Diceros bicornis minor: one gene and its partners. The protein of the gene in region 4 interacts with the protein of the main gene of each other region in a biochemical or structural test. Links are inferred from orthologs where the notes say so. Each region holds a gene or a part of one and is shown on either strand. Other genes may lie near its edges.

Region 1 (7,464 bases), on a different chromosome or scaffold from region 4:
CTGTTGCTTCTCAAACCTTTTTCAAATCAGTCCTTCCACCGTATCCACACTACCTCTGAGGTCCTGCAGTTTCAGACCTTATCATTTTCCTGGGTAAGTGTACATGAGATAAAGCTCACAAGCCATCCACCTTCTCTCTTCTATCTTTTTCTACTTATCTCCATCTGGCATACATAAAAAGTTCTATGAGAGCCAGGACTCAGTTTTGACAACTGTTACATACCCAGGGCTTGGTATATAAAAGGTGCTTAATCAATATTCGTTGAATGAACAACTGAATGACGTAGGTGGGGCATGGATCATACAGGTCTCTAAAAGTTAAGGAATGAAGATTTTATCATAAAGCCAAGTGGGGATTAAAGGGAATAACATGATCAGATCTGGATGTAAGAAAGACTGCTCTAACTTCAGGAAAGAACCGAAGGGGGCTTAAGAGACAAGGAGCAGTTAAGAGGGAGTGATCTCATAAATACCAGAGAGAGGTGACAGTAACAGACCTAGCGAACAGACAGTGTGACTAGGAAGTGAATACATTTGAGAGGATACTTAGAATCAACAGACCCTTAATAAGTGATAGGCTAGAAGGAGTGGAAGAAGAGAGTAAAGAAAAGGGATAAAGTCTAGGTCTGTGCCTTGGGCGAGTGGGTGGATGGTGCCATTCATTCAACTAGGGAACTTGGAGAGGCAGGTTTGGTGGGGAAAGTTCATAAGCTGAGATTGAAGTGCCTGTGGAACATCCAAGGGCAGACAGATTTCAGAGAAGTGGATAAACGGATCTGAACCTCAGGAGAAAATTTGGGTTGGTGACAGATTTGGCAAACATCAGCATGTTATTAGGTGGAACTTAGAAAACTGCCATTTTTGTAGGTCAAAAATTGGCAAAATTTCATATGGTCCAACCTAAGAGATAGAAATTTAAGTCTTCTGGATGACCTCACCAGGGACTGTGTGGTTAGTGAGAAGTCTTATGATAAAACCCCTAGAAACACTATGATTTAAAGGACAAGCAGAAGAAAAGGAGGACAAGAAGGAATGGTAAAAGCAGAAGGGAAACCAAGAAGTGTCAATGCCATCTTCTAACTCTGGTACCGAGCACTTAGCAAGTACTTAAAAGTGTGTTTTCAATTAATCTTCAAGGGTTCCACAGATGTTATCATCAGCTGTAACTACACACTGCAGGGTGCATCATTCACACTAAATTCCGTATGATCAGAGCCCCAACACCAGGGAGCACCATTCACCAGAATATAATGTTATTGGTGCCCCTCGGAGTTGTGTAAAGCAATGGCTCTGACCATCAGGAACCAATAACCTTTGTTTTCCTGCTTGCATGAGACTAGGGAGGTCACAGGTGCCACCAGTAGACCTAAGGCTCAATCAAGACAGCAAGAGAAAGGAAAGAAAAAGAGGAAAGGGAGAAAAATTAAACACAATCAGAAGAATAAAGAAGAACCCGTGGAAAAAGGGTAGAGCCAATGCTCTCAGATGATCTTTAGTGTTTCCAAGCCCAACTCATTTCTCTAGAAGCATCCTTGCCCACTCATCTCATAGCCCTGTTGTGACAAGTAAATTAAATCATGCATGCAAAGCCCCTGGTCAAGATTAACTCCTCTACACAAATGTGAACGATGACTGTTATTAAAGGCTTCTACTCATCTGTATGACTTTGGACTGCTTTGCCTCAAGATTTGGGGGAGAACGACTATATGAATTTAATTACTCCTCACATTTTTATAGTGCTTTAGAGCTCAGGAGAACTTGAAACCCACTATCTTAGTCCCTCCTGGGCAGGGTTAGTGCTCTTCTCCCACAATTTACAGAGGCCCTAATATTAGGTGGGACCATATGAAACTGACATTTTATAGGTCAAAAATGGTCTAAGATTGGCAATTTCACATGGTTCAACCTAACAGACTTCTAATGAAGTTGTTCATAGTTACAAGCAACAGCTGACGGAGTTTAGAACTGAGGTCTTCTTATTCCTGACCAGTCTAGGCCTCTTCCATTACTAAAAGGAGACTCTGGAAGCACATTTCAAAATGGTATCAATTTCTTACTCGAAAGGCAAGCAACGGGCTAGATCTCTCAAGCTGGAGGTTACAGTGTAAAACCACATTGGCCTGCTCTGCAGGAATAGCTATTAAATACACTGTGACCCCTCAATGAGTCCTCACAATACCATCTCTGAGGGTAACGGGATGGTAAGGAACACACTGACGGAGCACCTACCGTATGCTAAGGCACATCCCATAATTATTTCATTGGATCCTCACAGTAACAGTCTGAAGTACGTATCTTGATTGTCAGTGTACACATGAGCTGTCTGAGGCTCAGACCAGTTAAACGTCTGGCCCAAGGTCACACTGCTGGTTACCGGCAGGGCCAGCCAATGCAGGAGAAGCCAGAGCCGTCCAACTCTAAAGCCCGCCCCCTCTCCTTGAAGTCGAGCTGCCTCCCAGGAAGTTTTTCACAACTATCCCCATGTGGAAGAGGAAAGCTGTGCCAGGAGGGATGAAACGACACGCCCAAGGTCACACGGCTTGCAGGCGACGGCACAAGGATCCCCGGGCTCAGGCCCAGTCCAGAAGCCGCCCTCGTTCTAGTTACTGTCGGAGGGGGCGAGGGGGCGAATGCTGGGGTGGAGGTAACGGAAAAAGGAATCTAATCGCTGGATGGGGCGCACAGCCGGGCCAGGTCGGCGCCCTCACACATCCAGCGAAAGGTGAAGGAGCCCTCCGGCACCAGCCCGGTCCCGCCGCCGGGCTCAGGAGCGGCCGGCAGGCGGATGGGCGCGGCGCTCCCCGGCCGCCGGAGACCCCGGCCCAGGGGACGGTCTCCCGCTCCCCCGTCCCCGGCCGGGCCCGAGGCCCTCCCAGGATACTCTAATCGCTTCCCCGCCCTCCCCGTCCCTGAGAGACCCGGTCTCTACGCCTCACCCGGGCTGTGCCGCCGCCGGCACCACGTCCCCTTCAACATCCACATCCGCCTCTTCAGCCGCCATGATGGGACCTGACCGCATCCGGCATCCCGAGAGATCCCGCGAGAGGCGGAGGGCCTAGGGGCGGGGCCGACGCGTCACGGGGCGGAGTCGCAGCCTCGTCCAGCCCCTCCCGTGGCGGGGAGGCGGGGCTTCCAGAGAAAAGCAGCCCGCTGCAGCCCAGGCGCGGTCTTTCTGACTTTAGTGACGCGCGAAGACCTTGGGAAGTGGCTTAGGCTTGGGCTTTGAAGAGACCATGCGCTTGCACAAATTCTCTGGCGCCTCACTTCTTTCATTTGTAAGATGGGGATAATAGTAGATATCTTTCTGGAGTGCAGGAAAGGGCACGCCAGACCTGCTTTGAACCGTAAGGTGGCAACAATGAAGGACCCTTACCTGCTTCTTTTCTTTTTTTTTTTAAGAAAAGGATCGTTCGGCACTTATGTGAAGCGGTGAACAACTTTTATTTTAAAATTAAGCAAACATTTAAGAATATAATTTATGATTGCATGTTTTATTTTGTGGAAATCTTTATAATTAACGAAAAAATTACTTTCGTCTCGTCACCATTGATCTTTGCAATAACCCAGTGAGGTAGGCAGGACTGGTGTCATCAGTCACACAGATGAGGAAACTGAGGCTCAGAAAGCTGAAATGACTATGAGAGGATACACAGCTATTCAAAGACAGGGCTGGGACCACAATCCAGCTCTCTTGACTCTTTACTGAGTGCTCACCCTCTACAAATCGTGTTGTTAGGAACTATGACAGATAAACACCATGTTTCTCAAAGAATTTATGGCCCCTCAAGAAATTAGATATTGGCCTTATGTATTCTTCTACCTTAGTATCTATCACTCACATTATTGTAACTGTTCATTCGCTTGTCTGCCTCCACCACTGGACTGTGAATTCTCTCAAGACAAAGGCTGTATCTGCTAGTCTTTATACTACCAACATTCAGCATGGTGTCTGATACATAGTAGGTGCTCAATAAATATCAAACTGATGAACGAATGAACCAATAAATCAATGAAATGAGTTCACTTCCCACACTATTCTGGATTTGTCCCATCTCACCTTTGCTTGTGCTCAGGGCATAAGATGAGCTGTACTGTGAATGTGATGGCAGAAGGTAGGTAGAAAGATTTGTAAAGAGGGAGATCCAGTGCTCAGAAACTGGATAGTGCCCTAGCCTTAGGCCACCGTGGGAATGCTGTTCCTGTTGTCAAATGGCTTATCCAATGATCAGTCCCAATGGTAACTGGCATACCTGGCACAGAGTAGGCATTCTAAGATGTTTGATGAATTTAATTTAGAGCAAGGTTAGAAAGATGTACATGGCCAGATAGTCAAAAGAAATGTCAAATACACATGCTTTTAATTGATCTTTACGTAGCAGGCTGAGATGGGAACCCTAGCAGGACAATCTGGATACACATGATATCAAATGTCTCCTAGACCATAAAACAGAATACCATGTGAACAGCATCTCCTGCAATGCAGCACTGGAGGTCTTCTGGCCCAGTGCCAGACATCAATAGGCATTAAAATATATGTGGAAGAAAGGAAAGGCCTGCACAGAATTCAAGTATACCCCCAAGGTCTTTAGATGAAGAGGCCTCCCTAAACAGGGAGACTAGTCTGAAGCCTTCCCATACATACCCCACACCATGCTCCTGGTTAGTTAGCTTTGTGTGAAATAGGTTCATAAGTGTCTAAGCCCAACTCCACCTGCCAGGATAGGGCTATAACCTCACAGTCAGGTGAACTCTTGACTGAGGCCTGGCTACTATTTAAAATTCTCTTTTCTAGAGGTCTGCAACTCTGTGACTTGTTTAAAGACCCATTTTCTCACCAAGTAGTTTGAAAGCAGGATGAAGAATTCAGAATTCATATTTCACAAATACTTTTTGTACTCCTACTGTGCTTGATACTGGGGAAATGGCATTGAACAAGATGGACTCAGTCTCTGCTCTCGTAAAGTCTATCAAACATGCAATTTCAAGATGATATAATAAGTTCTATGATGGAGGAGTTACAGGCTGCTGGGGGGGTCACAGAGGACGGACACTTATCTCAGAATCAACCCTTTGCTGTACCACATTTTTGAGGAGGTTATTGATCAGTCAAAATTTGAGAGTAATGTTCTAGACTCGGGAATGCAAGATAGAAGACTCTGTTCCTAACTTAGAGAAAGAACAAATGGAAAAAGATTAGCAGGAATAGTGCCTGGTACTTATACAGAGCTAGGAATAGTGCCTATTCCCACTGACCAGACTGGAAAACCTCATGATTCGTGAAGCACTGGGTAGATAACTCGGAATAGTATTGCCTAAGTCATGGAGAATAATAAGCTCTGGGTGGAGCACTGCTCTGGTACTGCCTAACAAATCTTCAAGACAAGATCTGAAAGGATCAAACTGTTTCCAGGTAAATGTAACTGTGCCCTCCCTCCCCAAAAAATCTCAAGAATATTTGTAGGAATACAAAAATTCCCAGCACCCAACAGAACAAATTTCAAAATATCTGGCATCCAATTACCAGGCATGCAAAGAAGTAGGAAAATATGACCCATAATAAGGAAAAAAAGTCAATCAATTGAAACCCATCCAGTACTGACACAGATGTTAGAATTAGCATACTAAGACATTAAAACAGTTATTTTAACTATATTCCATATGTTCAGAAAGTAGAGACATGGAAAATACAAAAAGGAATGAAATTGAATTTCTAGAGATAAAAACTACAATGCCTGAGAAGAAAAATATACTGGATGAGACTAGTGGCAAAGTAGACATTGCAAAGGAAAGTATTGGTGAACCTGAGCACATAATAAAAGAACTATCTAAAATGAAACACACTAAGAAATAAAAAGGTTAAGAAGTGTACAGAAAATCAGTGAGGACAACTTCAAGCCTCCTAATATATGCGTAATGGGAGTCTCTGAAAAGTGAAGGGTGGGAGGTCAGGAAAAATATTAGAAGAAATAATGATTGAAAATTTTTCCAAATTTGAAGAAAACTGTAAACTTACAGATCCAAGAAACTCAAGGAACCCCGGGCAGAAGAAACATAAGGAAAACTACACCAAACCACACTGTAATCAAATTGCTCAAAACCAGTGATAAAGAGGAAAACTTTCCAGAGAATAAAGGCATGTTACCTACAGTGGGAAGATAAGAATGACAACAAACTTATTGTTGGAAACACTGGAGGTAAGAAGATGGTGAGTCAATATCTTTAAATTACTGAAAGGAAAAAAGTCAGACAACTTAGAGAACTGTACACCTACCAAAATATCTTTCAAAAATGAAGGCAAAGTTAAGCCTTTCTAAGACACAAAATCTGAAAGAACTCGTCATCCTATCTTTACAACAAGAAATGTTAAAGGACATCCTTCAGGCAGAAAGAAATGATAGATGAAAATCCTGATCTGCATAAAAGGAGGAAGAATGCAGGGAATAGAAACTACAGTCACATGCCACATAACAACGTTTCAGTCAAGGATGGACTGCATATACGACGGTGGTTGCATAAGATGAGTACCATATAGGCCGGGTGTGCAGTAGGCTATAGGATCTAGGTTTGTGTAAGTACACTCTGTGATGTGTGCACAAGAACGAAATCACCTAATGGAGCATTTCTTAGAACGTATCCCCCTCGTTAAGCAATGCATGACTGTACATGGTAAATATATAAGATTTTTTCTTAGAGTTTAAATCTCTTTAAAAGAGAGTTGACTGTTTAAACAAAAATAATAACAATGTAGTGTGAGATTTATAACATATGTATAATTAAAGTATATGACAACAATAATATAAAGTCTGATGAGAAATGCAAGTATATTATGTAAGGTTATTATATGAAGTGGTATAATATCACTTGAATATGTTATCACTGTGATATACTACAGATGTATTGTATAAACCCTAAAGTAATCACTACAATAACAAAACAAAGTTGGCTTGAAATGTGGACAAACAAAAAAACAAAATAAAATCTTCTCTCATTTATGCCTTATGTTTCCTATGGGCACTAAGCTAATTATTGAGAATTCCCTTCTCTCCACATCCTCTCCAGCACTTGTTGTTTTTGTCTTGATAATTATAGCCATTCTGACGAGAGTGAGGTGATATCTCATTGTAGATTTGATTTGCATTTCCCTGATAGTTAATGATGTTGAACATCTTTTCGTGTGCCTGTTGGCCATCTGTATATCTTCTTTGGGGAAATATCTGTTCAGGTCTTTTGCCCTGTTGAGGTGTATGAGTTCTTTATATATTTTGGAGATTAATCCCTTATCAGATATATGATTTGCAAATATCTTCTCCCAAATGTTGGGTTGTCTTTTCATTTTATTGATGGTTTCCTTTGCTGTGCAGAAGCTTTTTAGTTTGATATAGTCCTATTTGTTTATTTTTTCTATTGTTTCCCTTGCCTGGTCATACATGGTGCTTGAAAATATTTTGCTAAGACTGATGTTGA
Region 2 (6,891 bases), on a different chromosome or scaffold from region 4:
ATTTTGAAGTAAAAAGTATATATGCAGGCCTGGCCCTGGTGCTGAGTGGTTTAAGTTCTGGGTGCTCCGCTTCAGCGGCCCAGGTTCATGGGTTCCAACCTACTCCACTTACCAGCCATGCTGTGGAGGTGTCCCACATAGAAAAAGAAATAGAGGAAGATTGGCACAGATGTTAGCTCAGGGCTAATCTTCCTCACACAAAAAAGAGGAAGACTGGCAACGGATGTTAGCTGAGGGTGAATCTTCCCCAGCAAAAAAAAAAAAAAAAAGCATCTATGCAATATATTTAACATGTAAAATGTAGTTGCTTCTCAAAAGGCTTCATTCAGTTATTTCACATTGGGCTGTGAAACATTTTTCATTTAAATTCTTGCCATAGTGCAAGTTCTCAATACCTTTTTACAGTTCCAACAGAAGGCAAGCAAAAACATTTGCTTGGTACATTTTGTACAAAATAATTTATCTATTCTCCTTTAGTTTCAAATGGTATTTTTATCAAGTAAAACCCAACGTGATTATAAAATTATACATAGTAACAGTAAAATGCAAATAAATTTTATGTAACTGCCAAAACTCTCATCAAAATGTTTTTTTCTGATTTAGCCTTGTAGTTTCTGTAAGATCCCTGATTTCACCTCAGCCTCTTTTCCTAGTTCTTATACATTCACTGTTCTTAAAGAATCACCACACCTATCACCTGTTTTATTTTTCAACTCACCCAAATATAACTGCATTCCACTGCATGATGTTGTTTTCAGATGGTGCACCACTGACACCCACAGGTGGGTCCTCTTGCAATCTAGAAATCCAGAGTAGTAATTTTAAAAGTTGAACATGAAGGCCACTAAGAAGGCCCAACAGAACACCTATGGACTCTATACTATCTACTCTGAGACACACACTAAATCCATTTTCTTGTTCTTGTGCTGAGCTGGAACAAACCATGACTTAAAAAAAAAAAATCGACCAGGTATATACTTATTAAATATCTCTCCAAATTATCTAAAATTCCAAAGGGCTTAGGAATCATCCCTCTTCAAATATCACTGAGTTTAAGATATCTCTTCAAGAACTGAGGTATACAGACTGCCCTCAACCAGAAAAAAGACCCTCGAGTGCAAAAAATATTTTTACAGCACAATCAACTGTGCTGCTATAAACACACAAAGACTGAGCCCTAATCACAGCTACTTGTACAACATGACCACCAAAACAAAAACCGCAAAACAAAAAAAATTCAGTGTAAGTACTCAACGACTGAAAATACTTATATTCAGTTTCATTAGGAAACTGGTTTTAGGTAGGAAAGTTACTTTATCCCACCAGCCTCAATTAGCAATGGCTTTTAAAGTAATCAACGCTTTAGTTAAGCTGCCAACAGCCCCTATTTTAAAGGCTCTGCACTAACACTAAATCCACCTCTTACATGAGGAGACTCAATACAAAGCTACCTTCCGATATTTGTGACAGTGAAATTCTTGTAACCTGAAGACCCTTGGAAAATTACCAGAGGCGCCATGTGTTCAACTCAGAATTAAGGAGAGAATCCCTTAAGAAAGCAGGGTAACAATGGACACAAACTGGAAGTTTCATTACCTGAGTTTCATTCACGGGCGCTAATCTCAAGTCTACTGATTTCAAGCGTTAGAAGATGTTTGCACCAAAGAAGCATCCCCTTTTAAAGACTACCAACTCAGGAAAAAATAAATGCTACATTATACATATAGATATATATGTAGTGACTGTCATGTGATATGCTACTTTGAAATTAGTCCACATAAAAATCGTTCTTTTTAGTCAACCTCAAGTAGATTAGGCCACGATGAACAGAAGCCTTAGAGGAATTACGCTGCCTGACGCCCACGAAGGTAAATGGCTAAGAGAAGTTACAAATATATTCAATGATAAACGGGCCAAGGCCCAAAACAATGGCTTCCAAATGCCTCACCTGCGGCTTTTTAATGGCGAAGTCGAGAGATTACTTCCTGAGCGACTGATATTGTTTTTACATTAGATATTGTGTCTCAACTAGGGAAGGTCTCCCCAGAAAAACATTTAAAATGCGCAGAGGATCGCATTGCTAAGTTTTCTCATTTTATTCCGTACTTCCAGGTATTCAAAGGTAAACAAGTGAAAAAAAGTCACTTCCTCCTCACTAACCCCAACACCTCCTAACAAAACCCTGTTTTACAAAAGGAGGCCCAGGGAGTATCAGGTTAGCGCCAGCCTCAAGGAAGGCATTTTTCCAGACTTTGGAGGCTATAGATAGGGCTTTATACACCAGGCCACAGAGCTGAATTCCAGAAGGTACTGGCAGCCGGGGTTGCCAGCCCGAGGCCCAGGTCTCTAAGCCAGCACTCAAGGTCCTTTCAGGCGGGCGGGGAGAGTCGGGTTTCGGAGGATGGGTTAACCACCTCCAGACCACGCGCTGCAGACCCCACCCTCACTGCGAGGGGGGGGGGGACTTCGCCCCAACCCAGCCCCTCAGAGGAGACCGCAGGGCCATCGAACAAAGCTGACTAGTGCAGCAAGCGGGGAAAAAGCTTCTGCAAGGGCTCGCTCTTACGGGACAGGGAGGGGGCACCGGGGAGGTGGGGGGATGAGGTACAAGCTCTAGGATGAGACGTCGGGCAGCCGGTCCAAGTGGGCAGCAGAGAATCCTAGGACAGCCCAAAGCCATCTTTTTACTTTTGGAGGCGGGGATAGGGTACCGAAATTTTTTACGTCGGAAGAGTGAGCAAGCAAGGATTGAGGGACTGCGGCCGGGAGCTAGGACTGGGCTTCCGTCGGTCCCGCTGGGCCCAAAGCCGGCCCTTAGGGTCAAGAGAGAAAGGTGTCCCGGATCCCCGCCCTGCTGCCCCGCAGCTTTGGGGAGGAGCCGTCAGCCGGGCGAAGATGAGGGCCCTTACCGCTTGAAATCCCGCATGAGCCTCCTCCGGGCCGGGGTCGACATGCTCCCCACCTGCCCCGCGATCAGTCTGAAAAAAAAGAGTCCCGCACAGCCCCCCCCACCCCCCGGCGCGGCGGTCGAATCACTGTGGGTCACCGCCGCTGCCGAGGTTGCACAAACAACCCTGCAATGACGTCTCCCTCCGCCGCCTCCAGATCCCTCCGCCCTTCGCCAGTACCACAGGGTGAGGGGTTGCGGAGGAGCGGGGGAACGTATGAAAGCTCGTTATAGGAGCCTTTCAGCAGGACTCTATATTCATTTTGACTGCCTGAACTAATCAACAAATTAGTGTTCTCCGTTCTCAGACTGGAGGTTGTGGATTAAGAGACACTCAAACCGAAACACCACCGTGTCTCTCCCCCCTTCACTAGTTTAGGCTCGACCGGGTGGGGAGAGAGGAACGCATCCGGGGCCAGAGATTTCAGGGAAAGGAGGTGGGATGACGTAAGATCACGTGACCTATGGCGACGTTGTCAACAATCCACCCCTGAGGGGGAGGGGGCGAAGTATCTAGAACCACGTGTCCCTATGACGCTATTAGAACGGATCACGTGAGAGTGCTGCTCTGGTCTGAGTCTCAGCCAGGTCTATGAAGCCGGTAGTTAATTTTATTGGGCTGAGGGCAGGGATATACCTTTATTAGTTTTCCCTCCAGTTTGTCCCATAAACAGGGACGGCAATCGAAGAGTCGTGGTGGAAGCAAAAGCTTGTTTTGCTGCTTAAGTCTTTAAAAGGGTCCCAAAATAATTTGGATTCAAAATCCTCTTTGGTTGGTTCAATGGCTTATCTGGTGTATGGGGAAGGCAGAATGAAGGGACCTCAGTTTTTGCTAAGTGCAGCATTGAATGCTGAGGCCCGCACAAAGTAAAATCTCCTGAAATGCTTAGTTAGGGCCACCAAATAGCCTGTATGTGCATTACAGTGGGGTTTCCAGGGTTGGAAATTCTGGGCAAAGATAAAAGAACAGTGTACAGATTGTCCAAGATTTGTTCACAGTCCTTATGGAATTATGGAATTTTGTTTTTCCTTTATGGGTCTGCTCTCATTTGAGGATGTGTGGAAAAGTTCATGGATTTGGCCACAATGGGGTACCTTGTATTTGTCAAGAAATGTTGGGATGAGATCTCAAGAGAGCATGTGGATGGGTGGTTGGTTGTCAGAGACACCTAAAAATAGGATTCAAATCTGTGGGAGAGATCAGGCAGATAAAGGTGGGGGTTATATATCTAGCCTGGATAACTCATTTCAGGTTTTCTATGCTAGCAAGTAAGGGGCAAATGGGCCTGAAATGCTCCCCACCAGGGGGCTCAGAGGTGTTGACCCCTGGGGATTCTGTTTCCTTCCCTCTATTGCCTCCAATTCCTGGCCTTAGGGCTTAGCTGGTCAGAAGGACTCTGAGCACTTTCATATTCTTTTGGGTAATTCTTCAGTCCAAGGTGGAAGAGGAGGATGGAATAAGGACCTTAGCATTGCCCCAAGTTGCCCATAGTTCTACAGAACTAGAAAGGGTTAACTTTCCTCACTTTCTTGGTATCTCCGTTTCTTCAAACCCTGAATTCTCTCTTGCTTTTAGTAGCTGCCTTAGAGATCAGGTTAGTCAGGCCTAACTCTTGATAGGTCCTGCTCTCATTCGCAAATATGATTCTCTACGTCAAAAGCTGAATATTCTTATTTTTTTGCCTTCCTGCCATAGCAATCCTAATCCTCCCCATAGCCAAGGTTGAAGAAACACCAGTAGTGTTACATGCAGTGAAATGCTGAGGAGAAACTTTTTTCTTTAAATCCCTGTTATTTGACTAGCAATTTGTAATTGTTTTGGAAACCCACAGTTTACAGTTTTCCAAAATGAAGTAATACTTTCAACGAAATCAGTGAAGTTTTTTCATTAAAGTCCTACAGCAGTGTATAAACAGAAATCACTGGCTGTCCTGCTTAGTAGATCTGCCAGAACCTATCTATAGAAAGAATAGTTTTAAAGCTGTAATTTTATACTGTAGTGAGTCTGTAGCTCTAGATTGTGAGCTCACTGAGGGCAGGGACACTGATTCATGCTTTGTCTCTTGCAAACGTTTAGCCCACACAAAAAAATTTAATATGCTTTCAGCAAGTCTGGGCCCACTGTAAGATTTACTATGACATTCTTACTCATAGATAGAAAGTATTTTATAAGATGGTTGAATAACTTTTTAAAAGAAAAGGCAATTTGGGGGCCAGCTGGTGGCATAGTGGTTAAGTTCACAGTACTGCTTCAGCAGCCCTGGGTTTGCAGATTCAGATCCCTGGTGTGGATCTACACATCACTCATCAAGCCATGCTGTGGTAGCATCCCATATGCAAAGTAGAGGAAGACTGGCACAGATGTTAGCTCAGGGACAATCTGCCTCACCAGGAAAAAAAAAAAAAAAAAAAAGGCAATTTGGAATATTTTGGTGGTGATACAAACCATGCCCACCTCTCCTACCTCTCCCACTTCTTTCTCAGTATAAACCGTAGCAGCATAGAAACACTTAGGAAGCTTTTAACATATCAATTTCTTTACCCTACCTCATTTAAATTAGGACCTTTAAGGGTGGGGCCTCTTTAAAAGCTCTCCAGGTGTGATTTTAATGTGCATGGTGGGATGGGACCAAGTGGACTAGAATTTATTGGATAATAATGATGCTTTCTCTTATTTAGGGGAAGCATAGTGAGATTTGGCCTTTTACATTTAACTCATAGAAAAAAGGAATGAAAGCCCTAACAAGGACGGCACTGTTGGGCACTTGCTCCATTGATATCCTTGTTTACTGGAGGCTGTCACGCCAGCAGAACCCCATCTCTAGTTCTTGAGTGGTTAGCTAACGGCCTCTTTTTTTTTTTTTTGCCTTCTGTGCCCTTGTATGTCAATCTGTGTGGTAGAACGCTTTGAATTATTTACTTTCCCAAACAGGGAGTTTTAGAGTTTTGACATGTAGTAAGGGAGTTTTTAAAAACAAGAATTACCACAAGTTTGAAAAAATTTAAAAGCATAGAGAGGGTGTTCAAGAAATGTTATTGATTTAAGAATCTTCTCCTCCTTTTAAGGATTAATGTCGACTGTTGAGGTCAAACTCCGGTCTATGGAATATTAACATAACTAGATAGCTTAGGAAACTATAATTAAACAAGACTTCCTTGGAAGTCTCTTTTTACAACTCTGCGTAATGACGCCAGCCATCCTTTAAGGACCCAGCACAAGCGGCAGGTGTTCTCTGGCGTGGAGGCATCTGCGACGCAGCTCCAACAAGCCTCTGCCCCGGTTCCCCTCCCCTAGAGGATTTTCAGTCACTCACGTTGTAGTCAAAATACCGATCTTCCGTTATCTCCGCTCAAAACCAGCCTGTGAGGAGGCCCCAATTTGATCGACAGCAACCTCTAGTCCCTACCCCCGACCCCAACCGGGCTTCCACCTAGCACCCAGCCGGCACTCGTTTCCGCCTCTCCCCGTTTCCCTTCCGGGTCCCCGGCCGCGGCGATATTCCGGTCTTGCGCAGTAGGCCACGAGCGCGAAGGGCGCGGCCCCGTTGCCATGGTAGCGGGCCGCCCGGATTTAGCGGGGACTGAGGGCTATGTAGGGGCGGCGTCCTGTTGGGCTGCTAGGGCTTCGCGGAGCTAGGCAGGCGTGACTACAGCATGGGCTGAGGCGGCGGCGGCTGCCCGGACGAGGTCGACTGCGGGGCCAGGGGCGCGACACTGGTCCGGGACACTAAGACGTCTGGTTTGACGAGCGGGCGGGACCGAGGTTTTCTTGGGTCCCGGGGCCTGGTCTGTGGTCAGCCGTGTTGCGGGAACCGCATATTTGACGGGGGCATAACAGGACGTGTGAGGACCCCACCCAGGATGGATAGGTGACATGTAGTGAGGGAATCGTAAATTTTGGTGGTGATGGGAATGAGCGAGACAGCAAGGGGCTCGCTAAGTTC
Region 3 (7,901 bases), on a different chromosome or scaffold from region 4:
AGGATTTATTTTTCCGGGTGATGAAAATGTTCTAAAATTGATTGTGATGATAGTTGAACAATTCTGTGAAATACTAAAAATCACTGAATAGAATTGTACGATATGTGAATTATATATAAACTGTTAAAAATTTTTAAGCAAAAATAACCAATACAGACATAAAACTACATAAATCTTCTATAATGAATATGTATTTCTTTTATACTTGGGGGAAAACAATATATGTACTTCTTAAACCAAAATCATCCATTGGAACATACTATAATCCAATCCATGGAGCATGAAATGCAGATAGACTGGAAAAGTGTTGGGAAAGTCAACTTGTGGAATCAATTCTACTGAGAAAACTGAGAAGAGAGGGCCACTTTAACATGCTAAACTTACAATTATTGAAGAGAGCGCTTAAATGCTTTTATTTGTGAGGCATACTAGTTAAAGAATAGGTGGGATCACAAAAAGTCCTTCCTCCTCATAACTGAAATAAGAAAAGCAATGTGTAAATAAAGTGTGGGAAAGATGACACTAGTGCTTATTAAGGACTTTTAAATGGATGTGATCCCAACAAATTACCAGTGACAGAGGTCAAAAGGCCGCAATAACTGCTTTCTTTACTTGTTTACCCTTTCTAAAATTTACTTTTGAGAAAACTTTACTTATTCATTTTAATTTGTGATCAAGGGCTGTGCTGGAGCCTAAGCTGAAAGAACAGTTTTAACTGTTATGCTGTTTTAACTAAATCCAGACAATAAAGCCCTCACGAAGTAAGGCCAGGTTACACAGCCAGAAGATTCCTATATATTAATATTAGTTTGCATCTTCTCTAAGAAATTTTGTTGCCCTTCAGACAAAACATTTTTTTCATCTAATTGTTCAGAAAGCCACTTAAAAGTAAACAGAGCAAAAGTAAAATGTAGCTCAGATTGTGATCTTCACAAACTCAAATTAAGTCCAAATCAATAAATTCTGATTGCATTTCCCTTAATTTCTCCCAGTGCATCTGCTTGAGAATTGCACTGCACAAGAACTAAGAGCGTTGGTCTCCAGCACCGGTTGTATAACTGGTTTCCTCAGGAACCTCAACAAGTTGGAGAAGCTCTCATCACTTGAAGCTTGTACTTTCAGAACTGGAAAAACAGAGCACGTAGCCTGTATCACGGGGCCAAGAGACAAAATTCGGTGGGAGAAAAAAATTACTTTGAGGCCAATAACAGATTGGATATTAAAATGGATGTTGATAGGGTGACATGGATAGAGAACAGCTGCCAGTACTATCATTTTCCTGTTTCCTTTTTGACACTGCTTTCATTTTCTTTTTCAAATCTCTCTGATAAATGAAAGGCAGATGGGGGCTAAAAAAATCTTGGGCTGTTGCAATATTAAGCAGAAAGTAAATAAAAACAGACCTAGACTAAACAAGTTGGTTTAAAAAACAAACCAACAAGCAAAGACACATCATTCAACAACATACTTTTAACTTTTCACCTCTGCTTCTTGCATTTATTTCTACTCTGACTTTAGTGTCCTCATCAATTCATCCAAAATAACTCCTCACTGACCAAGTGCTCCGCAGTGCACTTGTGTTCAGCGCCCCGTGGTGCCACACTAAAATTGTGTTCGGAACATTCAGATTGTTGACTTTTGTTCAAAGGTCACTCCCTTCCTAGTAGCTTTTTAAATTGGAGGCCTCTAAAGGCCCAGGTTGTTTTGGTCCATTCATAATCATTCTGGACAATCTGTTCCAATGAGTGTTCCCTGTCTTTCTCGAGGAAAGATGCCACCGAGTTTATTAAATTAATCATTTTACAACTTTGCTACCCATACGAGCATTCTACTCATAATACAGTTTCAGTGCAATACTGGGTTTGAATGGTTTAAGTTTGGGGCATAACTGCTCCCACTTATGCTGTGACCGAACCTGACATTATTAGCTTCTATTTGTTGAAAGCTGCTCTCTCAAAGTTATATAACGTTTGCTCTCCATCCAACTATCCCCAACTCCTAGAAAAATTATTTTTTTAATCTCCCAGCTTCCACGACTACTTTCTCACACTCAGTAAACATGTCGAGACACCACTTTCCGCATATTCATCAGCGCTGTCGACTGACCAAATCGGTGCAAAAACGCACTGAAGGGGGGAAGAGGGAGAACAGTGTCGTCTGCAGCCTTCGGTGCCTCGGGCAGTCCCAGAAACAAAGTAGGGAGTCTGTTAAGGTAGCATGTTTCGGTGGAGGAGGCAGTGCTTCACTTATCTCAGAAAAAGGAGTCAGGAGAATAAAGTAGTGCGATTACACCCGAAAAATCAGAAAACGTCTTTCCCTCCCCTCTCCCAAGGGCTGTCAAAAAGGGCAAAGGCCCTTGTGTTGGGGACTTAACGGGAGTGTCGGGGAAGAAGGGCTAAGGGAAGAACTGTGGGTTCTCCCGGGCAGAAAGGGAGTGTAGAGGTGGCTGGTGCACAGAGCAGCTCGGAGGGCTCTGTGAGGATAAAGCGGGCAGGGGACGGGCCGGATCGGTGGCCTCTCGGGCCATTACCCACAAGGCGAGGCAGAGAGCCCAGCCGCTACGGGATTTCCAGGAGTCGCTTCCTCCCCCGGGGCGCCGCCAGCGAGGGCCGGACGTCCTCGCCCGGGTCCCGACACTCACCCCCGCGGTCTCCTCGGCCGAACATTCCAGCAAACTCCGGTCGATGGCCTGCATCTCGAGCTCCAGCTCCGACGCCATCTTCTCTCCTCCTCCTCCCCAGCGCTGACGCCGCTACCGCCGCCCCGAGGGCCGCAGCCTCGCCACAGCCCCGGCGGCCGAGACCGCCACCCCTGCCCCAGGCAGTCGGTCCGGAGTCGTCCAGGCGGCTGCAGGTGGAGAAGACGGAGAGTAGCGTGAGCGGAGCCGGACAGGAGGGACGGCGGCCTCCTGCGCTCCCTCCCGGCTCAGCGCCCAAGAGTCAAGTCACTGCCCCGTCCCTGCCCCGGGGAAGGACACACAGGGCCCCTGGCCTGGCACTCTCGCTCGCTACTACCGCGTCCCGCACCGGGAAAGGGGCAATAACACCCAAGAGAGGAAGCCGAGCATTCTGGGAACTGTAGTCGTCCTTGACACTGCCGGGAAGAAGGTGGGGCTCTTATAGGGTGCCCCACGACGGCATTGTGGGAGTTGTAGTCCATCTCTTAATAAGGGAACAGGCAAAGGGCAGATAAGCGGACGGGGCTTTTTTTGCACAACTAGAATCCTGGGAAGAGACTAGTGGAAAGAAGCGCCCACCTGGGAAGAGGCAGAAGAGCAAGATATTGTGGGAACTGTAGTTTTATTCTCCCAACCCCGTTTGTTCATTTTTGTATCCCCAGATCCCAGAACAGTGCTGGGCAAGTGGTAGACAATCAAGCACTTGTCAAAGCTTGGCATATGAGCTTGCCACTCAAACACTTGTCAAAGGAACGAATGAATTACATTCTATTCCTATAGTTCTATGGCCCTGTCATCCACCATTCCCTCATCCTTTAGATTAGTAACCGAGGTGAACATAATCCAGGTTTTTAAAGGTTTTAAAATATGTTTAAATGCTGTTAAAGAAAACATTTCTAAGTGATTTAGTTATGACCACTTAACAAAATTGATTACAAATCTTGCTGCAAAGGAAAAGGAGTCTAGCAAGCCAATTCAAAGATTTGCTCCTGATAGGGACATTTTATAGAAAGATAATCATTGTTAGATTAGATACAAAAGAAAATTATGTTTGGTTAGAGGTAATTAGGCTCTTGACTGACAATTGGGTGAGTGGGTTTCTTAGAACAAGTCTTCAATTCCTTTAGAGTTTATCAGAAAATTGCTTACACAGTTTACCAAGCATGCTACTTTATTCCCAGAGGGAGATTGTGAATCATGTGAGGCAAAAAAACCCACAAAACCAGTTCTGACCCAATCCAGGTTTGGGACATGTTTTTGTTGTTGTTACTGTTGTTAACAATACAGATGGTCCCTGACTTACAATGGTTCGATTTATACTTTTTCTACTTTGCTGATGGTGTCAAAGGGATATGCATTCAGTGGAAACTGAAACTATACTTCAAATTTGAATTTTGATCTTGTCCCAGGCTAGCCATATGCTGGTTGATACTCTCTCGTGATGCTGGGCAACGGCGGTGAGCAGCAGCTCCCAGTCAGCCACGCAATCACGATGGTGAACAACTGATACACTTACAACCATTCTGTTCCCATACAACCATTCTGTTTTTCACTTTCAGTACAGTGTACAGTATTCAATCAATTACATGAGCTATTCAACACTTTATTATAAAATAGGCTCTGCGTTAGATGGTTTTGCCCAGCTGTTGGCTAATGTCAGTGTTCTGAGCACGTTTAAGGTAGACCAGGTAGACAGACGATCAAGCTATGATGTTGGGTAGGTTAGAGGTATTAAATGCATTTTTGACTTACGATATTTTCAATTTACAGTGGGTTTGTAGTTGAGGAAGATCTGTACTACAATATTAACAAAGTTGTTTGTTTGTTTGTTTGTTTGTTTTGTGAGGAAGATCAGCCCTGAGCTAACATCCGTGCTAATCCTCCTCTTTTTGCTGAGGAAGACGGGCTCTGAGCTAACATCTATTGCCAATCCTCCTCCTTTTTTTTTCCCCCAAAGCCCCAGTAGATAGCTGTATGTCATAGTTGCACATCCTTCTAGTTGCTGTATGCGGGACGCGGCCCCAGCATGGCCGAAGAAGCAGTGCGTCGGTGCGCGCCCGGCATCCGAACCCCAGCAGCCAGTAACAGAGTGGGTGCACTTAACCACTAAGCCACAGGGCTGGCCCCAAAGTATTTTTTAAGAAAATAAAAATTACCCATAACCTCACAGTCCATATAAGCCTTATTACTTTTAAAAATAAAAGTAACATATGTAGGGCTGGCCCCGTGGCTTAGCGGTTAAGTGCGTGCGCTCCGCTGCTGGCGGCCCGGGTTCGGATCCCGGGCGCGCACCGATGCACCGCTTCTCCGGCCATGCTGGGGCCGCGTCCCACGTGCAGCGGCTGGAAGGATGTGCAGCTATGACATGCAGCTATCTACTGGGGCTTTGGGGGGAAAATAAATAAATAAAATCTTTAAAAAAAAAAATTAAAAAAAAAAGTAACATGTATAAGATTAGAAATTCAAGCTCACTAGGAATATTTTTCAAAGGAAAAATGAAAACTACCCCTCTTACTCCAAGTTCTTCCTCCCAAAGAAAATCATTTTTAATACTTTGTTATGATTCTATCCAGAAAAAAATGTATGCATGTATCTGCATAGATATCTAGAATGAGATATCTTGAAATGTTCTTCTACATGTTACTTTCTTCTTTGCCCGACTTCCTTCCACTGATGCACTCCCTAGTCAGAGTCAACCTGGAAGAAAATCGGGATTGTTACCACCTAGAAGCAAAGATAATGCCTCTTTAAGTGTCCTAACATAGAATTAAAGCCATTAAAATAGATTGTAAAGAAAATTTCTGCTCTTAACATTATTATCTTCTTCCTTCTATTACTTTTGGGTTGATTTTAACGTTCTTTTTCTAAATTCTTGAGTTGGATGTTTGCTATTAATCTTTCTCTTTTTTTCAATATGTACATGTAGGGCAGTGGTTCTCAAACTTGTGCATCCATCAGAATCACCTGGAGGTCTTGATAAAATACAGATTTCTGGACCCCACCCTCAGAATTTCTGATTCAATAGGTTTTGGGTGGAGACTGAAAATTGCATTTCTGTTAAGTTCCTGGGTCATTCTGCTGACCTGGGGGCTACCTTTAAGACTCACAGATTTATCAAGGCAATACATTTCCATTATATATTGCTTTAACCACATTCCACAAATTTTGGTATGTAGTGTTTTCATTATTTCATTATTTATTATTTTCATTTATTTTATTAGTTATAATTCATTTCTAAATATCTTCTAATTTTATTATGATTTCTTCTTTGATCCATGTAGCATGTTTTAAATTTTTCAAATGTGTATGACATTATTTTCTTTTGTTATTGATGTCTCATCATATACTATTGTGGGCAGAGAACATGGTCTATACTATATAGATTCTTGGTACTTGGTGACATTTGCTTTGTGAACTGGGGTCCATGGTCAAATAACTCTTCAAACCTTTTATTTCTTCAAATATTACCTTTCTTGCATTCTCTCTATTTCCTCCTTCTGGAACTTCTGTTTGACTTCCCTTTCTATTCTCCATGACTTTTCATCTCTTTTTCATTTTTCCAACTTTTAACTTTTGTGTACTGCATTCTGAATATATCTTCTAGTGTGCAAATTCTCTCTTTAGCTGTGTCTAATCTGATATTTCACTATCTACTGACTTTTTATTTTCAATGACTTCATTTCTCATTACTAGAAATTATATTTAATTCACTTACAAAGATTTCTGTTCTCCTTTCATAATGTCTTCTTATTTATTTATGGTTCTAAATCTTTGTTTTATATCTTTAATACTTTTAAATATCCTTATTCAGTAGTGTTCAATAGGTTGTTGTACTTATAAAGATCTTGAGAATCTAATTTTACTTTCTGTGTGTGTGCTAATCCTCATTTAAATGATTGTTTGCTTTGTGCTTTGTAATTATGAATTTTGAGATCATCTTTACTTAGCATTAGCTATGGGAATCTTGAGAGGCCTGTGTTAAGAGCATGTACTTTCAAAATAGTTTTCCATTTGCTTCTGCAAGGTGAGGCATTCTAGGAACATCTTATACTCAGGACCAGGCATTCTAGGAGTATCATATACCCAGGACCAATTTTTTTGGTCAGTTTCTTGGCTTGGGGGTTCCCTAATAGTATTAATTCAATTGTGTGCCATTGTCTCTGTTTGTAAATTCTTAAAGGAGAGTTATTTTCCTACCCAGAGTCAAGGTTAAAAGCTTCCTTGTCATTTCCCTCTGCCAGTCAGTGAGTTTTTTTCTAGTCTATCCTTTCACTGATGTTACATTCCTTTGAAAGCCCTGGCTTTATGTGGAGATCTCAGTTTCAATTCATGTTTCTTGGACCCATGGTCTTGTCTTATGTCTTCATGTGGGCATTAAAACTTAAGCCCCAATTTCCAGTTAGACATAGCATATTGAATACCTCATGACAGCAAAGAGGAAAAAGGAAAGACAGAATAGGAGTGGAGATGACAGCACCAAAATTTTGGAAAGTGGAAAGCAAATGGACGAGAAGTAACTGACTTAGCAATCAGAGAATGCTGAAACCTAAGCCAGCAGTACCGCCACCCAGAAACAATCTTATTCATATGCAGAACTCTGAGAGACTTAGAAATTTGAAGCACCATGTTACTCTGAAAGTGGACAAAGACGATGCTAAAAGCAAGAATATTTTTGAAAGTCTGTATAGCAAGAAGTTAGATCACCCCACTTTCAAGGTGGGAACCTTGAAAGAAGACTGGAGGTTTATCCTCTAGAGAGGCATACCTGAGGGTCTTTGGACTGGGAGACACCAGGCACAGCTAAGTACAGGGACACTGTATTGAATACTAGGGTGTTAATTCAAGTCTATACACCCAATAGGTTGACTCCAGTGCATTCCCCACCCCACCCCCAGCTCTGAAAACACCAGTGGCTGGCTTATACCTCCGTTCCATGCAGAAGTTTGAGAGAATCTTCTCCAGAGAGACTGATCAGCTCAAAAGAAAGAAAATCTGGCAGAGGACTGGGACCCTATATTAGACTGCTGGGGCTGCCATAACACAATACCACAGACTACATGGCTTAAATAACAGAAATTTATTTTCTCACGCTTCTGGAGTCTGGAAGTCCAAGATCAAAGTGCCAGCAGGGTTGGTTTCTGGTGAAGCCTCTCTCTTGGCTTGCAGACAACTAACCTCTGGCTGTGTCCTCCCATGGCCTTTCCTCTGTGTGTGTGGAGAGATA
Region 4 (5,113 bases):
CTCTCTTTAAAAATACTGGCATGCAAATAAGGGCCTTTAATGTGGCTCCCAGCGATTGGTAGGTACTTAAGACATCCGTCACTTCCTCGCAGTGCAGGATGCAAACGAAGAGGCTGCTTTCTGCTTTCCTATTGGCTGTTTGATCGGGCTCCGCTTTTAGCCAATCAAACTACTTCCCATCACCCCTCCCGGTAGCTCTTATAAATTACATCAAATTGGTTATCCTTTCCACATCCTTCTCCTTGAAAAAGAAGCTGTAGCTGCGTTTTTAGCCGTAATGTCAGGACGCGGAAAGCAGGGAGGCAAAGCTCGCGCCAAGGCCAAGTCTCGATCGTCCCGCGCTGGCCTGCAGTTCCCGGTGGGGCGAGTGCACCGCTTGCTGCGCAAAGGCAACTACGCGGAGCGGGTGGGGGCCGGCGCGCCGGTGTATCTAGCGGCGGTTCTCGAATACCTGACCGCAGAGATTCTGGAGCTGGCGGGGAACGCGGCCCGAGACAATAAGAAGACGCGCATCATCCCTCGCCATTTGCAACTAGCTGTGAGAAATGACGAAGAGCTCAACAAGTTACTTGGGGGTGTCACCATTGCCCAGGGCGGCGTCTTACCCAATATCCAGGCTGTCTTGTTGCCTAAGAAAACGGAGAGCCACAAGCCTGGCAAGAACAAGTAATTAAGAGGCTTGACACCATCCCCACTCTCCCCAAAGGCTCTTTTAAGAGCCACTAAAGTATCAACTGAAGGGCTGATCACGAAATAGCGCATTAGCTCTTTCTTTGAAAACTTGGGTGGCTCTAAAAAGAGCCTTTGATCTTTGGTTTACTTAGTTAGGATTTATTTGCTTTTGGCTTTGTGGCTTTCCGTTTTCTTTGGTAACAGCACGGCCTGGATGTTCGGCAAAACACCGCCCTGGGCGATGGTGACTTTGCCCAAAAGCTTGTTCAGCTCTTCGTCGTTGCGGATGGCCAACTGGAGGTGACGAGGAATGATACGTGTCTTCTTGTTGTCGCGGGCCGCGTTCCCCGCCAGCTCTAGGATCTCCGCCGTCAGGTACTCGAGAACCGCCGCCATATACACCGGCGCGCCTGCCCCCACCCGCTCGGCATAGTTGCCTTTGCGCAGCAGGCGGTGCACTCGTCCCACCGGGAACTGAAGGCCTGCACGGGACGAACGCGACTTAGCTTTAGCGCGAGCCTTACCTCCCTGTTTTCCACGACCGGACATATTAAAAAATCAAGTTATAACAAATACCTAAAGCCCAGAAACTCTGCAACAAAACAGTTTTGAAAGATCGGCAATTGGAAAGCCTTTATAAGCTTTCCTAGGGGTGGAGTCAGGAACGAGTTTTTCATTGGTCCTAAATTGGCTCCAGAATCGGCCAATAAGGTCAAGAGTGTGTGTTGTTACGTAGCTTTTACTGATAACGCAAGGTCCTTACATGGCCCAATGGGAGCGAGAGACTTTTGGAGCCCTAATTTGCATACGGTAGTTATAAAAGGATCAGGCCCGCCCATTCTCATACTTTTATTTGCTAATCGGTGTTGTGTATTACAATGCCTGAGCCGGCAAAATCTGCTCCCGCGCCCAAAAAGGGTTCGAAGAAAGCGGTCACCAAAGCCCAGAAAAAAGATGGCAAGAAGCGCAAGCGCAGCCGCAAGGAGAGTTATTCCATCTACGTGTACAAGGTGCTGAAGCAGGTGCACCCGGACACCGGCATTTCGTCCAAGGCCATGGGCATCATGAACTCCTTCGTCAACGACATCTTCGAGCGCATCGCCGGCGAAGCGTCCCGCCTGGCGCATTACAACAAGCGCTCGACCATCACGTCCCGGGAGATCCAGACGGCCGTGCGCCTGCTGCTGCCCGGCGAGCTGGCCAAGCACGCCGTGTCCGAGGGCACCAAGGCGGTCACCAAGTACACCAGCTCCAAGTGAGTCCCTGCCGGGACGCGGTGCTCGCACGAGCCGCCGCCCGCTTGACTCCAAAGGCTCTTTTCAGAGCCACCCACTTAATCACCAGAAAAGAGCTCTGTTCACTTAGTTTTCTCTTAGTTCTTTCTCGCAAAGTAAATTATTCTAGTTGGCTAAAGGTCGTGGAAGATGGCACTCGTAGCATTTTAAGCTCTTCTGACTTGAGGTTCCTGGCGCGTGACTGGCTTTGCTTTTGAATCTAGGGCGCGTCTTAACCCCTTACTGTGTTTGGTTTTCCTATGAGTCAGTTCTAAATTAGGATGCTACGAATACGCTCCTCCCCACCGTCCGGCCCCAGACTACAGTGTCTTGGTGGCTTTGTTGGGTATGTTTTATTGGCGTTCTAAAACGAAGTGAGATTTCGGGCATCCTCATTTAAGAAAGGACCCCAGGACACAACTAAGCTCGGGGTCCTGCGAACACTGCGTCACAGCTCTGAAGAATTCTCCCGAGAGTGGCAGCCTCTTGGGTCTCCGGTCACCAGTTCTGCCCTGCGGTGTGGCTCCCTGTGGATACCAGCAGTTTCGGGCACCTCGGGCAGAGCCAGCGGTGCTGGGTCCCAGCCTTCCCCTGATTGGACGACGTGAATATTCAAAACCACACGCGGCTCCAGACTTCGTAGGTTCTGGTTTTCGCCGCTCACTTTGAGACTTTGAAATTCCTATTGATCGATTTGTGAATCATTTTTTCTTTGAATGCTCTCTTTGGACCGTTCTAGCCTCGGGTCACCGCAAGGCATTGGTCATTTAGGTCTGGGCTGAAAGTCACCTACCCAAGTCATCCACTCAGGAATTCGCGCCCCGTTCCTGCCTGTCCTGGTGCCTCAACTGTTTTATCTTCCTGTTAGTTGCTGTCAGAAATTGTGTGGTTCGTTTATCTTATTGTTTGTGGGGCTTTCTCCTCAAGCCCTTGACAGAGACTTGGCGGGTCTGGTGTTCCCCTGTATCATCAGTGCCAATCCGTGCCTGACACATAGTGGACATGTACATACTTATTGAATTAATACTTTTTGAATTAATTTTCCTATTCCACTCCTTGCTTAATCGCTTCCTTGGATGGATGGGTGCGGTTCATTTCCATTAAATATATGGGAAGACCTGATGAAAATGGAAGTAGTTTTGGAGCTCCTTTCCCAAGTCTGATGATAGTCACCTCAGGGCAACAACCAGGAGGAGGCCTGTGTTAAAATTCTTATTGCGCCTAAGAAGAGGCGGCAGTGGTTAGTCCTCCCTTTATGCTTCTCAGTTTAATGTAACCTATTTTGGATTTTAATTAAATTCAGAGCGTTGGTCCCTGAAAAGATCCTTTTCCTTTCTCTTTTTCTGACACCCTTCCCCCAATTCCACCGTCCTCATCCTGTGTTCCCCACCGAGATGAGCTTTTAATTTACACTCGCGATCTCATTTGCTTTTCAGGGGACCCTGTAAGATACGCAAAGTTAATATCCCTTCTACAAATGAGGTTGAGAGAAGCACAGTGATTGGTCCGCTGGCCATGCAGCTAACATTGTCCACCTTTGTATCCTCAGATGCGAGGACAATTGCATTTTAGTTTTATTTTGTGTGATTACAGAATGTTGAACCTTTCTGTCCAAGCCTTGATTTTGCTGATAAATACACTGATGGTCTGATCAGTTATTAAACTCTGCTTTTGGCTAAGGGGTCCCGGAGTTGATTGCAGGGGTTTCATGAATCCAAATGGACTCCAGACATTACCATAGACTGATTAAATCTTATGTTTCCTACATGTATGTTTTCAAATGTGTGTAGATTCTATTGTTATTAATAAAGTGACCAATTAATTTAAAAGCTTGGCTGGATTCTTTTATCTGCAGTATATTTTCTAATTAAATGAAATTAACAGATACAACGACTACTGGGTCTATGGAAAAGCTGGGTGCCTCTGACTTGGAGGATGCGTATTTATAAGCCATCAGCAAAACTTACTTCTACACCAGAGGTGCACTGGGGCTGAAATATCCTGTTATGAGGACACTGTAATTGCTTAGTAATTGAAAAATACATGACCACAAATACGAAGCATTATAAACAAGATAGAAAAAGTAAAGTCCTTAAGAAAGTTTAGCTGACACCTACAGAGCACTCACTATGTGCCAATGTTCTAGGCCCTTTACACACATTGACTCATTTAATCCTCACAAGAACCTGATGAAGTAGTTACCATTATTATCTCTCATTTTACAGATGAGGAAATTGAGGCACAGAGAGGCTTCTCCTCAGAAACTCTCCAGAGAATAAACTCTTAGTTCAGTGCTTAAGGGACTTGAGAAAGAAAGACCACTCTGAAAACCTGGACCCCTCCCTGGGTTTTGGGGGGAAATATATATGCTTTAAAATTAAAAGAAATACCACCTGTTTTATTCTCTTCAGGATGTACCCTGGATATAAATCTATGGTGGTGGTGGTGGCTAAAAGTCTTGAGGATGGGATTGGAGGCTCTGGTTCTCCATCCCAGAGGCCATGACACATCTCAGTTTGTCCCCACGTGGTAGGGGGCTCACCAGCTGGAATCCCTTCACTAACATGAGAGAACCTTATTGCTGGTTGTGGGCTCTGCCTGGGTATGGTGTTTACTAGGAAGGAAGTTACAGAATGAGGAGTGGGTAGAAGTGATCGAGTTTGGTATTTTAACTCTGGAGGGGAGGTAATTAGTGATGGTGAGATTAATCCTCCTAAAGAACCTCTCTGATCCTTTCTTTCTCCTGCTCAAACATCTGTATATGTTTGCTTATATTGGGGTTAATGACAATAATTGTTATAATAATAATTGCTTGTACATACTGAGCACTTATCTATTTACCTGGTGCTCTGCTAAGTGGTTTACATGCATTACCTCATTTAATCCTCACGGTCACCATTTAAGATAGATTTCGTTATTATCGTTCTTACTTTACAGATAAAGGAAACTGAGTCTCGGAGAAGTTAAATAACTTGTTCTGGATCATTTAGGAAGTAAGTGGTGGAACTGCAATCCAATGCACACTTTTAAAAAGCTTGATATTCAAGGCCCTTCATAATCTGCCTCTTCCTTCTTTTACAGCTGTATCTCCTACTGCTCCCCTATCAGGTTTTCTGCTCTGGTTAAAATGGTCTACTCATCTTGCCCTAAACCTGTTTGCTCTTTCC

The links.
Region 1: of the proteins of histone H2A type 2-C (region 4) and MYSM1, one has a biochemical effect on the other in vitro, tested with the Homo sapiens proteins (2 studies listed by BioGRID). The link is inferred for Diceros bicornis minor from reciprocal best matches to the Homo sapiens genes H2AC20 and MYSM1.
Region 2: of the proteins of histone H2A type 2-C (region 4) and UBE2B, one has a biochemical effect on the other in vitro, tested with the Homo sapiens proteins (2 studies listed by BioGRID, with this or other methods). The link is inferred for Diceros bicornis minor from reciprocal best matches to the Homo sapiens genes H2AC20 and UBE2B.
Region 3: the proteins of histone H2A type 2-C (region 4) and UBR2 form a complex in vitro, tested with the Homo sapiens proteins (2 studies listed by BioGRID, with this or other methods). The link is inferred for Diceros bicornis minor from reciprocal best matches to the Homo sapiens genes H2AC20 and UBR2.

Annotation. Positions count from the first base shown.
Region 1 is NC_080752.1:20,399,613-20,407,076, forward strand, and holds the start of MYSM1 (deubiquitinase MYSM1), read right to left. Parts: upstream 3,020-7,464; coding exon 2,937-3,019; intron 2,741-2,936; exon of another isoform or gene 2,247-2,740; coding exon of another isoform or gene 2,230-2,246; intron 1-2,229. UniProt on the Homo sapiens protein: Metalloprotease with deubiquitinase activity that plays important regulator roles in hematopoietic stem cell function, blood cell production and immune response.
Region 2 is NC_080740.1:53,502,037-53,508,927, reverse strand, and holds the start of UBE2B (ubiquitin-conjugating enzyme E2 B), read right to left. Parts: upstream 3,022-6,891; 5' UTR 2,954-3,021; coding exon 2,910-2,953; intron 2,431-2,909; exon of another isoform or gene 1,949-2,430; intron 800-1,948; coding exon 719-799; intron 1-718. UniProt on the Homo sapiens protein: E2 ubiquitin-conjugating enzyme that accepts ubiquitin from the ubiquitin-activating enzyme E1 and transfers it to a E3 ubiquitin-protein ligase. In vitro catalyzes 'Lys-11'-, as well as 'Lys-48'- and 'Lys-63'-linked polyubiquitination.
Region 3 is NC_080753.1:22,990,582-22,998,482, forward strand, and holds the start of UBR2 (E3 ubiquitin-protein ligase UBR2), read right to left. Parts: upstream 3,025-7,901; 5' UTR 2,720-3,024; coding exon 2,642-2,719; intron 1-2,641. UniProt on the Homo sapiens protein: E3 ubiquitin-protein ligase which is a component of the N-end rule pathway.
Region 4 is NC_080743.1:54,429,823-54,434,935, reverse strand, and holds histone H2A type 2-C, read right to left. Parts: upstream 1,282-5,113; 5' UTR 1,222-1,281; coding exon 832-1,221; 3' UTR 671-831; downstream 1-670. Other genes in the region: histone H2A type 2-B, read left to right, coding at 278-670; histone H2B type 2-E, read left to right, coding at 1,551-1,931. UniProt on the Homo sapiens protein: Core component of nucleosome. Nucleosomes wrap and compact DNA into chromatin, limiting DNA accessibility to the cellular machineries which require DNA as a template.